3 linked regions of the Kluyveromyces lactis genome follow. The protein of the gene in region 1 interacts with the protein of each later gene in a pairwise test. Links are inferred from orthologs where the notes say so. Each region holds a gene or a part of one and is shown in the gene's direction. Other genes may lie near its edges.

Evidence for each region.
Region 2: the proteins of SEC27 (region 1) and RET3 interact in binary tests that used the Saccharomyces cerevisiae proteins (3 or more experiments, as listed by UniProt). The link is inferred for Kluyveromyces lactis from reciprocal best matches to the Saccharomyces cerevisiae genes SEC27 and RET3.
Region 3: the proteins of SEC27 (region 1) and SEC28 interact in binary tests that used the Saccharomyces cerevisiae proteins (3 or more experiments, as listed by UniProt). The link is inferred for Kluyveromyces lactis from reciprocal best matches to the Saccharomyces cerevisiae genes SEC27 and SEC28.

What each region holds. Positions count from the first base shown.
Region 1 is NC_006038.1:168,410-173,892, forward strand, and holds SEC27 (coatomer subunit beta'), read left to right. Parts: upstream 1-2,236; coding exon 2,237-2,254; intron 2,255-2,486; coding exon 2,487-5,141; downstream 5,142-5,483. Other genes in the region: KLLA0_B01914g (transient receptor potential ion channel family protein), read left to right, coding at 1-512; KLLA0_B01936g (uncharacterized protein), read right to left, coding at 594-1,808; MRM2 (21S rRNA (uridine2791-2'-O) methyltransferase), read right to left, coding at 5,301-5,483. UniProt on the Saccharomyces cerevisiae protein: The coatomer is a cytosolic protein complex that binds to dilysine motifs and reversibly associates with Golgi non-clathrin-coated vesicles, which further mediate biosynthetic protein transport from the ER, via the Golgi up to the trans Golgi network.
Region 2 is NC_006042.1:2,524,083-2,527,985, forward strand, and holds RET3 (coatomer subunit zeta), read left to right. Parts: upstream 1-2,250; coding exon 2,251-2,820; downstream 2,821-3,903. Other genes in the region: mRNA-binding protein RRP12, read left to right, coding at 1-350; TAF3 (Taf3p), read right to left, coding at 543-1,592; RQC2 (Rqc2p), read right to left, coding at 3,063-3,903. UniProt on the Saccharomyces cerevisiae protein: The coatomer is a cytosolic protein complex that binds to dilysine motifs and reversibly associates with Golgi non-clathrin-coated vesicles, which further mediate biosynthetic protein transport from the ER, via the Golgi up to the trans Golgi network.
Region 3 is NC_006039.1:797,864-801,784, forward strand, and holds SEC28 (coatomer subunit epsilon), read left to right. Parts: upstream 1-1,956; coding exon 1,957-2,838; downstream 2,839-3,921. Other genes in the region: ARE2 (sterol acyltransferase), read right to left, coding at 1-1,346; GET complex subunit GET2, read left to right, coding at 3,149-3,921. UniProt on the Saccharomyces cerevisiae protein: The coatomer is a cytosolic protein complex that binds to dilysine motifs and reversibly associates with Golgi non-clathrin-coated vesicles, which further mediate biosynthetic protein transport from the ER, via the Golgi up to the trans Golgi network.

The sequences.
Region 1 (5,483 bases):
CTAAAGAACATGATGGGGACTGGCAGGAGATGCTAGTTACCCAGGGTCAACAAAACACCGAATCAAGCACAGATAATCTTAACGATGAAAAACTCGAGGCAGCAGAGGAAGCTAATATTAGTAGGAAACATTCATTCAAGGATAAGATATTGCGTAAAATGTCATTGAGGAGAAATAAATCCACTTCGTCCAGGTTAACCGCTGGTAATAGACAAGCTACCGTCACTGCTTCGCATCTTTCCGGTGACTCTAGCTCAGAATCAGAAACGCCAATCGTTAAAACTATTAAAGGGACTCACACAAGAGCAGTGTCTGAGGCAGAAAACGGACTAATAGATAACAGTAGTGATTTTGATTTTGTTACTGACACACAACTCGATACTCCAACAGCTTCACCCCATCGTAAAACTTCGATAAGTGATAGCATAAATTTCAATAGTACTACGGATATGAATGCTACATCCTCAACAGATATTTTCCAACATAACAATAACTCCTACTACAAGTTGTAAATATGAGTGCCGTTTCGTTTCTAAACTCGTATATTATATAAACTTTTCATCGTATTAAACAAATGTATTATCGATTTTTGACTACGGGTGCACATATTCAAACAATTCATCTGAGACGTGCATATTATCCCAATAGTTAAGGAAAACTGAGCATTTTTCTAGTACTCGTGTTAGGTTTGCTGCCATTATTTTATCCGTAATACTTAAAGTTTTCCATAACTTAGTTGTGGCCACTTTATTCAATGTCCTCCAAGGTAAAGATAGTTTGTCCTGTTCTATGGTTGAAAGCTGAAGCAAAGGCGAAATAATATCTTTCAATTTTTCTGTTGCCAACGTGAGTTTGAAATTATCTTCTTTATCATAATGATATCTTTCTGAAACTTCAATCTCTTGAAACCAGGACAACTCTTTTGAGGATTTCCTTCTTGAATACCAATCGATGAGAAGTTCTTTTGTGGAAAGTTTGCTCTTGAAGTCAGGTATCTGGGACATACTTGTATTCATGTAATATGAGCTCAAACTAAAGTTAGTCGGAGCCATAGACAAATTCGGGGTCTGTAAGTATGGAACATATGTCTTTGTTTTTCGCTTTGACAGGAGAGTGATGAATGGGATTAATTTCTTAGCCATAACTTCTGACCAGGAATCAGAATAAGTCGATGCATACAATGGCTGAATTGGTATCGAATTAGATAAAGAACAAAATTCCATTGCATTTGATGTACTTATTCCATCACTCTGTAAAGATTGAAATATCGTTTGTTTGGCATCCATATCCACATCACAATAAAACAAACCGCCAACCCAAGTGTAGGGTATAAAAACATCAAATGGACGGATCGCATACTTCTTTCTTCTGGCCATTTTTAAACAATGAAAGTTCTTCAAACTATTATTGGGATTTTCCTGTTCTTTAGATTCAAAAAAACACCACGGTTGGTTCCAATCCTTTACATCATTAGTAAGTTGCTTCTCAGTTTCAAAGACAACTTTACCCTCGTTACAATAAGTTATCTTCAAAGCTTTCCCTGATCTTTTATATAGCTGGTGAAAATAAAATACCCTGTGTACTTTAAATCCAGTGAAGAGCTTTGTATCTCCAGGCAAAGAATCTACTGGAATCGTTGCCCCACTCCATATCTCAAACGTTTTCTTCATATTCATGTTGGCAGAGTTGAAACCTACCGCACAAGCTTTATCAATTGTATGAACAGGGTATAGTGCTTTCCCGTAAGCAAAATCAAAAAATAGAGCAGAACAAAAGAGAATCAACAACCATAGTTGACCTTTACTCATTCTATAACAAACCACACAACTGCTGTAGCTTCTAATAAAATGAGACTATCAAGACAAATAGCAGTTGTTCTGCTGAATAGCCTAAATCGCGCCCTTTGTCGAACAAATATAATAATTAGTAATATTCTTCAACTTTAGCTTTGAATACAAAATGGAGAAGATTGATGTAATATTAGGGGAAATAAGTCATATAGCTCGTAGTACTCTCGAGCCGAAACGGTTCAAGTTGATGCTTTATTTATGTGACACTGACACTGACATCAATATCATAATAACATTACCCGGTCCTATGCCATGTCCATCAACGGCTTTGAAAAAAAAATGTTTGAAAGGGGAATTTGAATAATAAAGATCCATTCATGATTTTAACACGTTAGTTGAAGAAAACATCGAAGGTAGAGACCCAACAGAGCGGAAGGAAATTAGCAATGAAACTTGACATCAATGTATGTGACACATTGTGTACTAGAGTAATTTGTGAGGTGCTTTTATCACGGAGAATCGCTGTTGAACGTTAGCAATTGCATATTAAGTATCTTAGGCGTTTTTCTGGTATCAATACATTTATGTTTTATGTTTTGATTCAACAGATTATATTTCTTCAGCCCTTATCAGCAACTAAAAGAAAGAGCTTTTACTAACATTTTTTTCATCTATGGTGACTTTATTTGTCTTTAGAAAAAGCTCAGTGCCAGAACTGACAGGGTTAAGGGCATTGACTTTCATCCTGAGGAACCTTGGGTTTTAATTACCTTGTACTCAGGAAGAATTGAGATATGGAACTACGAGACGCAAACGCAAGTGAGATCTATTCCATTATGTGATGCTCCAGTGAGAGCTGGTAGATTCATTGCAAGAAAGAACTGGGTTGTTGTTGGTTCCGATGACTTTAAATTAAGAGTTTATAATTATAACACCGGTGAAAAAGTGACCGAATTCGAAGCACATCCTGATTATATCCGTTCCATTGCTGTGCATCCAACGAAGCCATTCGTTCTGACAGGTTCTGATGATCTGACTATTAAGTTATGGAACTGGGAAAAGAATTGGGGCTGCCAACAAACCTTTACCGGTCATGAGCACTTCGTCATGTCTGTTGCATTCAACCCAAAGGACCCCAACCAATTTGCCTCCGGTTGTTTGGATCACACTATCAAAGTTTGGTCGATTGGTCAAGATGTTCCAAATTTCACCTTGAAAGCACATGAAACTAAAGGTGTGAATTATGTCGACTATTACCCGTTACAAGATAAGCCTTATTTGATTACCACTTCCGATGACGGTACCATCAAGGTGTGGGATTACCAGACAAAATCTAATGTTGCTACTTTAGAGGGACATATGGCTAACGTGTCATATGCTGTATTCCATCCGACTTTACCTATCATTATCTCAGGTTCCGAGGATGGAACTCTCAAGATTTGGAATGCAAATACATACAAACTAGAGAAAACGTTGAACATCGGGCTTGAAAGAAGTTGGTGTATCGCTACTCATCCATCTGGTAAACGTAATTACATTGCATCGGGTTTCGACAATGGTTTCACAGTTCTATCCCTAGGTGATGATCAACCAAAATTATCTTTGGATCCAGTTGGTAAGTTAGTTTATTGCGGTGGTAAAGCATCAGCCACTGACGTCTTCTCTGCCATCATTAGAGGTAATGAAGAGGTAGAAGAAGGCGGTGCCCTTCCTTTGCAAAGCAAAGAATTAGGGTCGATCGACGTTTTCCCACAAAGTTTGAAGCATTCCCCAAATGGTAGATTTGTCACTGTTGTTGGTGATGACGAATTCATTGTGTACACTGCTTTAGCATGGAGAAACAAAGCTTTCGGCAAATGCCATGACTTTGCATGGGGCCCAGATTCTAATAGTTATGCGTTAATCACGGAAACGGGTGCAGTGACCTACTACAAGAACTTCAAACAAGTATCTTCTTGGTCAATTCCGCTTGATTACGGTGTCGAAAAAATCTTCCCTGGTTCAGTATTAGGTGTCAAAGCTGACGGCTTCGTATATTTCTTTGATTGGGAATCAGGTAATCTAGTGAAAAGAATTGATGTCGATGCTAAGGATATAATCTGGTCAGATAATGGAGAGCTTGTTATGATCATCAACAAAGACCATGAAACAGACTCTGCTGAAGAAGCTAATGCTTACGCTCTGTTGTTCAATAAGGATGTTTACGATGAGGCGGTTTCAGCTGGAAGTATTGATGAAGATGGTGTAGAAGATGCGTTTGACGTATTATACGAAGTTTCAGAGGGTATCACGTCAGGTAAGTGGGTTGGTGATGTCTTCATTTTCACCACCCCAACAAATAGATTAAACTACTTTGTTGGTGGTAAAATCTATAATCTTGCACATTTCGATAAGCAGATGTACTTATTAGGTTATTTGCCAAGAGATGATAAAGTTTATTTGGCTGACAAAGATATCCATGTTTATGGTTATGAACTATCTATTGATGTTTTGGAATTCGAGACATTGGTACTCAGAGGCGAACTAGCTGAGGCCAAATCATCCGTACTACCTAATGTTCAAGGAAAAGAAAACTTGCTAAAGATCTCTAGATTTTTGGAGGGACAAGATTTGTTTGAAGATGCCTTAGAAATTTCACCAGACGCTGAGCAGAAGTTTGATCTAGCTATTAAATTAGGCCGACTATCACTGGCGCAAGAAATATTGTCCGAGCAGGAAAGTGAGAACAGATGGATTCAATTGGGTGATGCTGCCTTAAAGAAATTCAATTTCACTTTAGCTTTGCAATGTTATGAAAAGGCAAATGATCTAGAATCCCTTTTCTTGTTATATTCTTCATTCAACAATAGGGAAGAGTTGGTTTCATTGGCAAAGAATGCTGAGACTTCTGGTAAGTTCAACCTAGCTTTCAATGCTTATTGGGTAGCAGGTGACATAGCTGGAGCAAAGGACTTGCTATTAAAATCTAATAGGGTGCCAGAAGCTGCCCTATTAAGTTTAACATACGGGGAATCGGCAGAATCCATCAACACTGTAGTAGACGTATGGAAGCAAACTTTGATCAATGACGGTAAAGCCGCAATTGCTGAAAGAGTTGGAGTTGTCGGTAAGACAGAAGGTTTTCCATCAACGAATACACATACCTTACTTGATTTAGATACACCAAGCGAGAGCATAAAAGAAGCGGCTCCTGTAAACCATAAGTCAGAGGAGGATGTCGCAGTTGAAGAAAAAGCGTTGGATACCGAGGAAAATAAGGATGAAGATGAAGATGAAGAAGCATTCAAGGATTCATCTGAAGAGCCTCAAGGTTCAAAAGACGATGATAAACCCGCTGCAAAGGCGGAATAACTGTACGTTCCCCAACTCCTAAAAGAAAAAATGAACTACGATAAATTCATAATCCGTAAATAATGTATTAATATGCTAGTATATTAACATGAACTAAACGATTACAATCCGTGAGTCTTGAAGATTCTATCAAACTGTTTAAAATATTTACAAGTACAATTATTCCTCTAAAAACACCTTCAATTTATCTATATCAGTTTTCTTCCCGCGAGCCACGAAATACAGTTCTTTTGATTCATTTCTCGATGCATTGGGTTTGAATCTGTCGACTTTTTTGAATACCTTTTTAAGTCTCTTTTCAAGAAGGGTATCTTCGCTTCCAGCATATAATTTACAAGTGAA
Region 2 (3,903 bases), on another chromosome or scaffold:
CAAAATCAAATAAAAATGAAAGAAGAAGGATTGTCGATGATGAAGTGTTCAGCTTTGATGCAGAAGGTAAGTTGGTTATGAAAAACGATAGGAGAAGAGGAGAAAATAACAATGAAGATCCGTTAGAGGCTATTACCAGTGGTGTTAATGCATACTTAGATGCTGTCAAACAAGGTCCAGTAAAGGGTCAAAAGAACAGACTAAAATTCAAAAAAGGATCCAGAGCTGGCAATGAGGATGATTTCAGTGATGATGAACAGGAAACCAAGCTACCAAAAACAAAACCAGCTGAAAAGGGAAGAATTGGTAAAAAATCCAATGGTAGATTTAAAAACAAGAGGAGATTATAAATCACTTTTACCTGATATGCACTGCAACGCCCTAGCCCATTTATCAATTTGATAGTTGTATATAGATGTATAGTAGAATAGACAAAATCGGAACCAAAAGATTGTTACATGTGATTGATTTGAAAACAATCGAGTGAGAGTGCGATTGTTTTGTCGTAAACATGAACTAATTTTGTGTTAAACAAATTATATTTATATATCGTATGCGTGTCCAAAATCCAAAGATGCCCTTCTTTCAAATGTATTTTGCATGTCCTCCATTTCGTCTAACTCTGTGGTAACTACATTGCCTAAAGTTAAGCCTCCCGTTCCAGAGGTCTCAAAATCATAATCCGTTTTATCAATATCGGTGTAGTCTTGCTGATCTTCCTCCGTATGGAGGGGTTCAAGTAAATCGTCAATATTCTCATCTTCATATGAAACAACTATGTTTTCTAACTTGTTATTTGGGTTACCGATAGGTAACTTTGAGATGAGTCTTTTCAGAACTATTTGCTCTGCTGCGTCTTCAGTACTTTCCTCTTTTCCTTCTTCATCTTCGTTAATTTCGATTCCAACTGGAATGCATGAATTGGTAATGATAGGTCGACTTCGGCTTAGTTTAGAGTATTTTAATCCAGGAATTGACGGTAACGAAATGAGATCTTGAGGAAGTTTCCCCGACTTCCTCTTCGCAAGTTCTAATTTTTGTGATGTCAACATGAATTGTATCCAGTCATCCATATCCCCGTTGTTTATCATTGCTTCCACCAATTCTGTCTCATCATCTCCATCGTTAGGCTTTTTGTCCGATGTATTCAGCTGGTTGATATACTCCGGAATCATTGACAATGGTTTACTAGTTTTATCACCAACTTTCAACAGGTCTGGACTTGGGGTACTGATAACTCGTGCTTCTGTTGTTGCGGGATCTTGAAGTAACCATCTTTTAAACTGTTGCATACCTTCATCGCCTGCCACGGACGGGTTTTCATCGTAAACATCCAGTAGGTTCATTGGTTTAAATACGCCGATATTGAGCATTCCTTGGGTAATATCTTGAAGGGACACTTCTTCATCTAAATCACGGCGATCCAGAGTAAGTTTCCGTATTTCTTGAATCATCAGTTCTAGATATCTCACATATAAATCAGTAAAAAGATTAACTGTCCCCATTTTGGCTCTATCGAAGCCATGTGCCCTTAAAAGGTGTATCATTGAAATTCGCAGCAGCGAAAAGTAAAAACTTTCATCAGTGGTCATAATTGTGAGGAGCTGAGTAAAGCAATAACACTTTGCTTGCTCAATGCTTAGAGCGTAGAATATACAAAATACTGCAAAGTCTTTGCAATTGGCCGGTATTTAACTTATGATAAATAAATCAAAGTAAATACTGCTTAGTAAATCAATCAGTGTCCTCGAAGCTCAGTACTGGTTGCATTCTGCATCGAACGAACCCCACAATAGACAGTTTTCGTTAATGTATAGTATTTGCATGGCTAACCTACTTATCAGACAGTAAAAGTTACAAGTTCCTTCTGTGTTTTCCATTACCCGGAAACAAATCACGTGATAAGAGATTCGATCAAACACTTGCTGTTTGGCGTTACTGGAGCATAAATCCGTATTCAATGATATCAACAGGCTTTCATTGCCATGGAGCTTTTTACATGGACAGCTTTACAAGACATCCAAAGAAGGCTACTGATTCTAATTACAGGAATGGGCAATGGTTGAGAGCTGAATTCTGCCTCTCTCGAGCGCAGTTCCTATTTGTCCTATATCTTGTCAACTGCAAATTTGGAATTTTCGCGTACCGCCAAACCAGCACTTCCCTCCTGAGACAGTAAACCATTGCATCAGTACTGAATAACACGAATAGCATACCCTGGAAGTAACCAAGAAGAAAAACATAAACAACATGGTTAACTTATCTCTATACACAGTTAAAGCTGTGTTGATTTTGGATGGAGAAGGAAGAAGACTTTACTCGAAATACTTCCATCCACCACACGAAGAAATTTCTGCAGATTCTCTTGCATCCAGCTTAAAGAAGCAAAAAGAGTTCGAATCTAACCTATTTGCTAAAACTCATGGGCAGAATTCAGACATTATGATATCAGACGATCTATTAGTTATTTACAGAGAATATGTCGATGTTTCGATATATCTGATCGGTGCAATCGACGAAAACGAAATTGTTTTGCAAGAAGCATTCAACGGGTTCAAAGATTCCCTAGAATTGATATTGGATACAGGTATTGACAAGAGGAGTGTTCAGGAACATTATGACATGGTGGTTCTAGCAATTGATGAATTGATTGATGATGGTATTATCTTAGAAACTGATCCAGCCACAATTGCCTCTAGAGTGACGAAACCGCCTTCAAAGGATATCCCATTGAATATAGAATTGAATGAAAAGGGTTTGCTAAGCGCGTGGGGCTTTGCCAAGAGTAAATTGGCTGAAAGATTACAGCAGGGCTTGTAAGCTTCTCCTCATTTTCCAGATTTCTTTTATAATCAGACACATATGTTTACCATCGATATGTAAATACTGTGTGAATGTCTTTGCCTCTTCTAATAAAGATGAAACTAAGATAAATATAAATATGAAATACAGTACTTTCACTTTATATGCTAATTAGTTGATTTTAATATGACAGCGTGAAAACTATTCGATTGGTCAAACATATCTCTGAATGATAAGAATTTGCTTGATATTTTTTGTCATCATTTTTTAGACTTCTTACCTTTCGCCATTGATTGCTTTGATTTATGTGATCTGCCTGAGGATGCTTTGTCGTTTCCACCTGGGATGGAAATCTTCAATTTATCAGAACAAATAATAGGAACGACATCCAAAGTTTTGATTAGCTTTATTGTTTCATGTTCTCTTGGCCAATCTAAGTCTTTATCGTACTCCGAACTGTCGACAGTTCTATTCAAGAAGTAATGTAGAGTTTCATTAATAGATTTGCTCTTCTTTGCAGTGCCAGGCTGTATTTTGACTTTATACTTATTTTTAGTTAAAGCAGCCCAGGGGGCATAGACAGGGATAACGTCAGCTATTTTATCATCTTTGGAAATACCGGTTTTCAATTGATTCAAAAATTTTGGAATATCAACTTCGACCTTTTCTGATTTGTTAAACTGCAAGATGCGAGTTTGCTCTTGGTTTTTACGTATCCGCTTTTTAAACTCCCTCTTTTCGGCTCTTTCCATCTCTTCAAGTTTTTTTTGCTTCTCTCTTTCAATACCTTTTAATGTTCCAAGTGCTTCTAGTCTCAATAATCTTTCTTCTTCATCTTGGTCAAAGTACTTCTTTTGGATTTTTTTCAATTTCCCTCTCTTACCACGAACCGCTGTATTCATATTTTCAACAATTGAAGTAGCTATAGTCTTACTCTCATCAAAATCCTCTTCACCTTTGGATAAATCACTATTTGAGAGTTTCTCGTACCCATCAGTGGCCTCTTCTCCTGCTAAAGCCACTTCATCGAAATTGTTGACATCGAACCCTAGATCATTAATTTCTTTTGAAATAACGTTTACATTATTATCAATTTGGTCG
Region 3 (3,921 bases), on another chromosome or scaffold:
ATCATAATAAAACCTGGTGCCAAGTCCAACAAGAGCTTCGGCCATACCAGGTTCTTTTCCCATAATGTGAGGTTGGCATCTGCCAAAATTTTAGCTTTCAAAATAACAGGCAGCATGAATTGTTGTGCAACAACCATCATGACAAAGATGATACCAAAGATCGCGCAACATTTCTCAAAAACGTAAAACCATCTTATACGTTTTGTGCGTGGGTATTCTATCTGATATACAAGCGTTGGGAACGAAGAAAACTCGAAAAAGTTCTTCACTGAGACATTAAATGGGAACCTGACCGTTGATGATTGAGATCTTATCTCAAACTCACAAAAATCTATTGACTTTTGCAATATATCAAGTTCTGGTTGTGGAGAACTGAGTTTTTTCAGTTTCTTTAGGGTAGATGTTGCATAATCCAACTCTGATGAAATATCCCACAAATAACCATTATAGAAGGAATAAGAATGTATCTTCATCAAATAGACCAATGAATGTAAAAATAAAAATATTTGGGCGATCCAGTTGAAATGGAAGGTCTTTTTTGGTAAGTAGATATTGGAGAATAGAAATACCACCTCATAAACTGAAATAATATCTCTCCCTGTACGTCTCCAACTGATGACATTTTTTCTGCACAAATATTGTATGACGAATGCAAAATAACTAGTCAGGTACATTGCGATATCATATAACGCAACTTTCCAAAGATTCATGGTCATGTATCGCAAGATAATTGACTGTGAAAAATCACCATGTTCCTCGTAATATTGTAATGTCACTTTGCAGATGGTGAACGCAACTGCCATCCAAAATAAGACATAGAATCCAGAAAAGTCTGTTGCTATAGTTTCATTTGCAATTTCAATAGTATTATTGTCATCTATCCTCACCGTATTTGATCTGGCTGTTGCCTTTACTCTAGAATATTTCTCGTCTATTGCTGGCCCATTGAAATGAGATCTAAGCGGATTGTTGACCATCTCATCCATGATACTACCTCTAGAGCCCCAGTCTACATCTCGTGTCATGGACTGCATTTCATTCGTATCCTTCTTATATCTGTTCTTTTCCTTCACCTTCAATTTCTGCATGAAAACATGCAGATGTTTGTCGCCTTGTTCGGAGGTGGTTCTAGTCTTAAAGATAACCGTGTCGTTAGGCTGGACCGTGTTGAAAAGAACGTCCGGAGATCCAAGTTCATCGAGAACAGCATCCTCCAACTGTTCCTCATGCAAAGACTTCCTCTTCCCATGGTTGTTGTCGTTCAGCCTTCTTATCCTCAAGAACTGCTCATCCTCAGTTATATCCTTAACGGTGGTATCATGTGAACTGTCACTTGAACCGGACATTATGACAGGTTTTTAATTAAAGATCCAGTTAAATAAATCTTTTATGATATATTAACGTGGATTGACTCTTCACCATGAAATTAGTCTGAGATAAATCTAGGCCAAGTCGTGATTCGTCTTAAGAAGGAAAAAATTCTTGCTAACCTCTCTCTCTCACTCAGACGTTTTAAATATAAATCTCAAATCCGGAATTAACCAATGGTCGTAAGAAGTGTACTGTTAATTACTGAATCTGTTTCCTTTTCCAACCCGTATCGTTTAAACGTCCAAAGTAACTGGCTCTGAATTTCTTCTGATAAATACTCTCAATCCCTTAAATAAACGCCATATGGTGATCCACACCTTCGAGAATTATTCGAGAAAGGAAAAATACAAAAAAAAAGATCACGTGAATGAAAAACATCCATTACCCTGATCCTGTCAGTTTTTCAGTTTTGGACAATTCGCATGGTGGATCAAAGTAAGATAGCATATGGACTCTCAATATTAAAGGATACGTGTGAGATAGACCCGTTAATGAGCCAGTAAAGTCGCTTTCAATACACGATAACGGTTAATTGAAGTTTTCCGACGTCAGATTTGTTGAGAAAAAAATATCAACTCAGAAGAAATGGACTATTTTACTGTAAAACAGCAGTTTTATACTGGTAACTATGAAGAAGCGTTGAACGAAGTTTCTAAGTTTAACAAAACTGAAGATGAGGCGTTGACTTACTACAGAAATAGATCATTGATTGCATTGTCCCAGTTCAGTGAGGGTAGTGCTGATTCTGGCTCACTTGGGCCTGTATTTGAGGCTTACTATAAATTTTTAAGCAAACCTACAGGCTCAATCACTGCACTAGAACAAACCGTTGAAAAGGCGGGCAGATCTCCATTTGCATTGAACTTATTAGCAAGTGCATTGACTATAAAGGGCGAGTTTAAAACTGCTTTGGAGGTTGCCGTTGAAGGAATTGACTCCGATGAAACAAGAGGAACCCCGGAACTACTGTTAACGGCCATCCAAATAACTTTGTTGGATAATCAACCAACCATTGCCTCGACTATGTTTGAAAATTTCCAAGCACTTCAGGAGCAATCGAACGACGATGAAATAATTTTGAATCTTGCAGAGTCATACATCAACTTCAACCAGGGTAAAGAGATCACTGGATCCAATTTCTATTTCTTTGAAGAGTTGTCTCAAACTTTCCCAAGTTGGAAGACTCAATTAGGCCTATTGAATTTACACCTCCAACAATCGCATTTGCCTGAATCCAAAGCAATCATCGACCTCTTAGAAAGCGAGTTCTACGATATCAAACAAGAAGCACAAACGTACAAGCCTGATCTACTTGCAAATAAGATTACGTACACCATCTTATCTGGTGGAAATGCAAACGAATTGAGATCGGAATTGCAACAATTGAAACCATCTCACCCACTATGTGTTGCCGACCTTGAAAATAACAAGACTTTCGATCAAATTGTGGCAAAGTACACAGCCTAAATCTATATATATCAAATAGATCTTGAGTAGCAAATAGTATTGGTATTGGCGATACTTTCCGGGTAACATTGTTCTTTTTCCCATCAATTTCGTGGGAACTGTCAAGATAAAGCGGATTGATCAAACATCCTATACAATGTGAAGGGTTAGTTTTGAAACCAGTCACTCGGTATCGTTTTACAAGGCACCTGCGTTGTATTTAGTTCGAATATTCAGGGGAGTTGATCTTCTTATTTTGATTGTCGATCTAATTCTACTTTAGTTTCCCCCGAATTGAGCTGTAATTCACACAGAATTTGGAGTTTACAAGATGGCTACTGAATTGTCTGATGCTGAGAAACGTAAATTGTTGAGGGAAAGAAGGCAACAGAAGTTTTCCAACGGAGGTGCTTCCAGCAGGTTGAACAAGATCACTGGTCAACAGCAGAATAGCTTTTTGTCTTCAACATCTGTTCTTGATGAGCCAAAAGTTACTCCGTCAGGTAACAAGAAATCATCCAATGTGAGTGACGAAGAAGTTGAAAAGTCTACCAAAGAGATTCAAGATTTACTTTCTAGTATTCCCGGTAACAAGGACAATTCTGAAACTGATGCCGCTGAAACGAATCCTGAGGTTGCCCTTTTCCAACAGTTGCTTAAGATGCAACAACAAGGTGGAGGATTCCAAAATGGATCACCAGATGCCAGTACACCGGACCTTTTCAGTTCTTTGCTAAACAACGATACGAATACTACTGCTTCTGCTACACAGATGCTCCCTAATTTTGTTGATGAGAAAGTCTTGAAGTATTACAAGTTCAAAGTGTCCAAATTGAAATCCTACATCATTTTAATAAAATGGGCTCTTCTTGCACCATACGTCTACTTTATCATGCATCCCAATCCCACTGTTCTTCAAGCTTCCAACTTGTTATCCCAAATAGTGGAAAGATCGAACTTCTTCTCCATCTTTACCGGACTAGAAATAGTATTCATCTCTATCTACTATCAAATGTTGAAGAAACTTCAAAGAGATAACAATGTTACGGCCACCCAAAACGCAGGAGGCATTTTGAAGTATCTGACAATGATACCAGAAGGCAT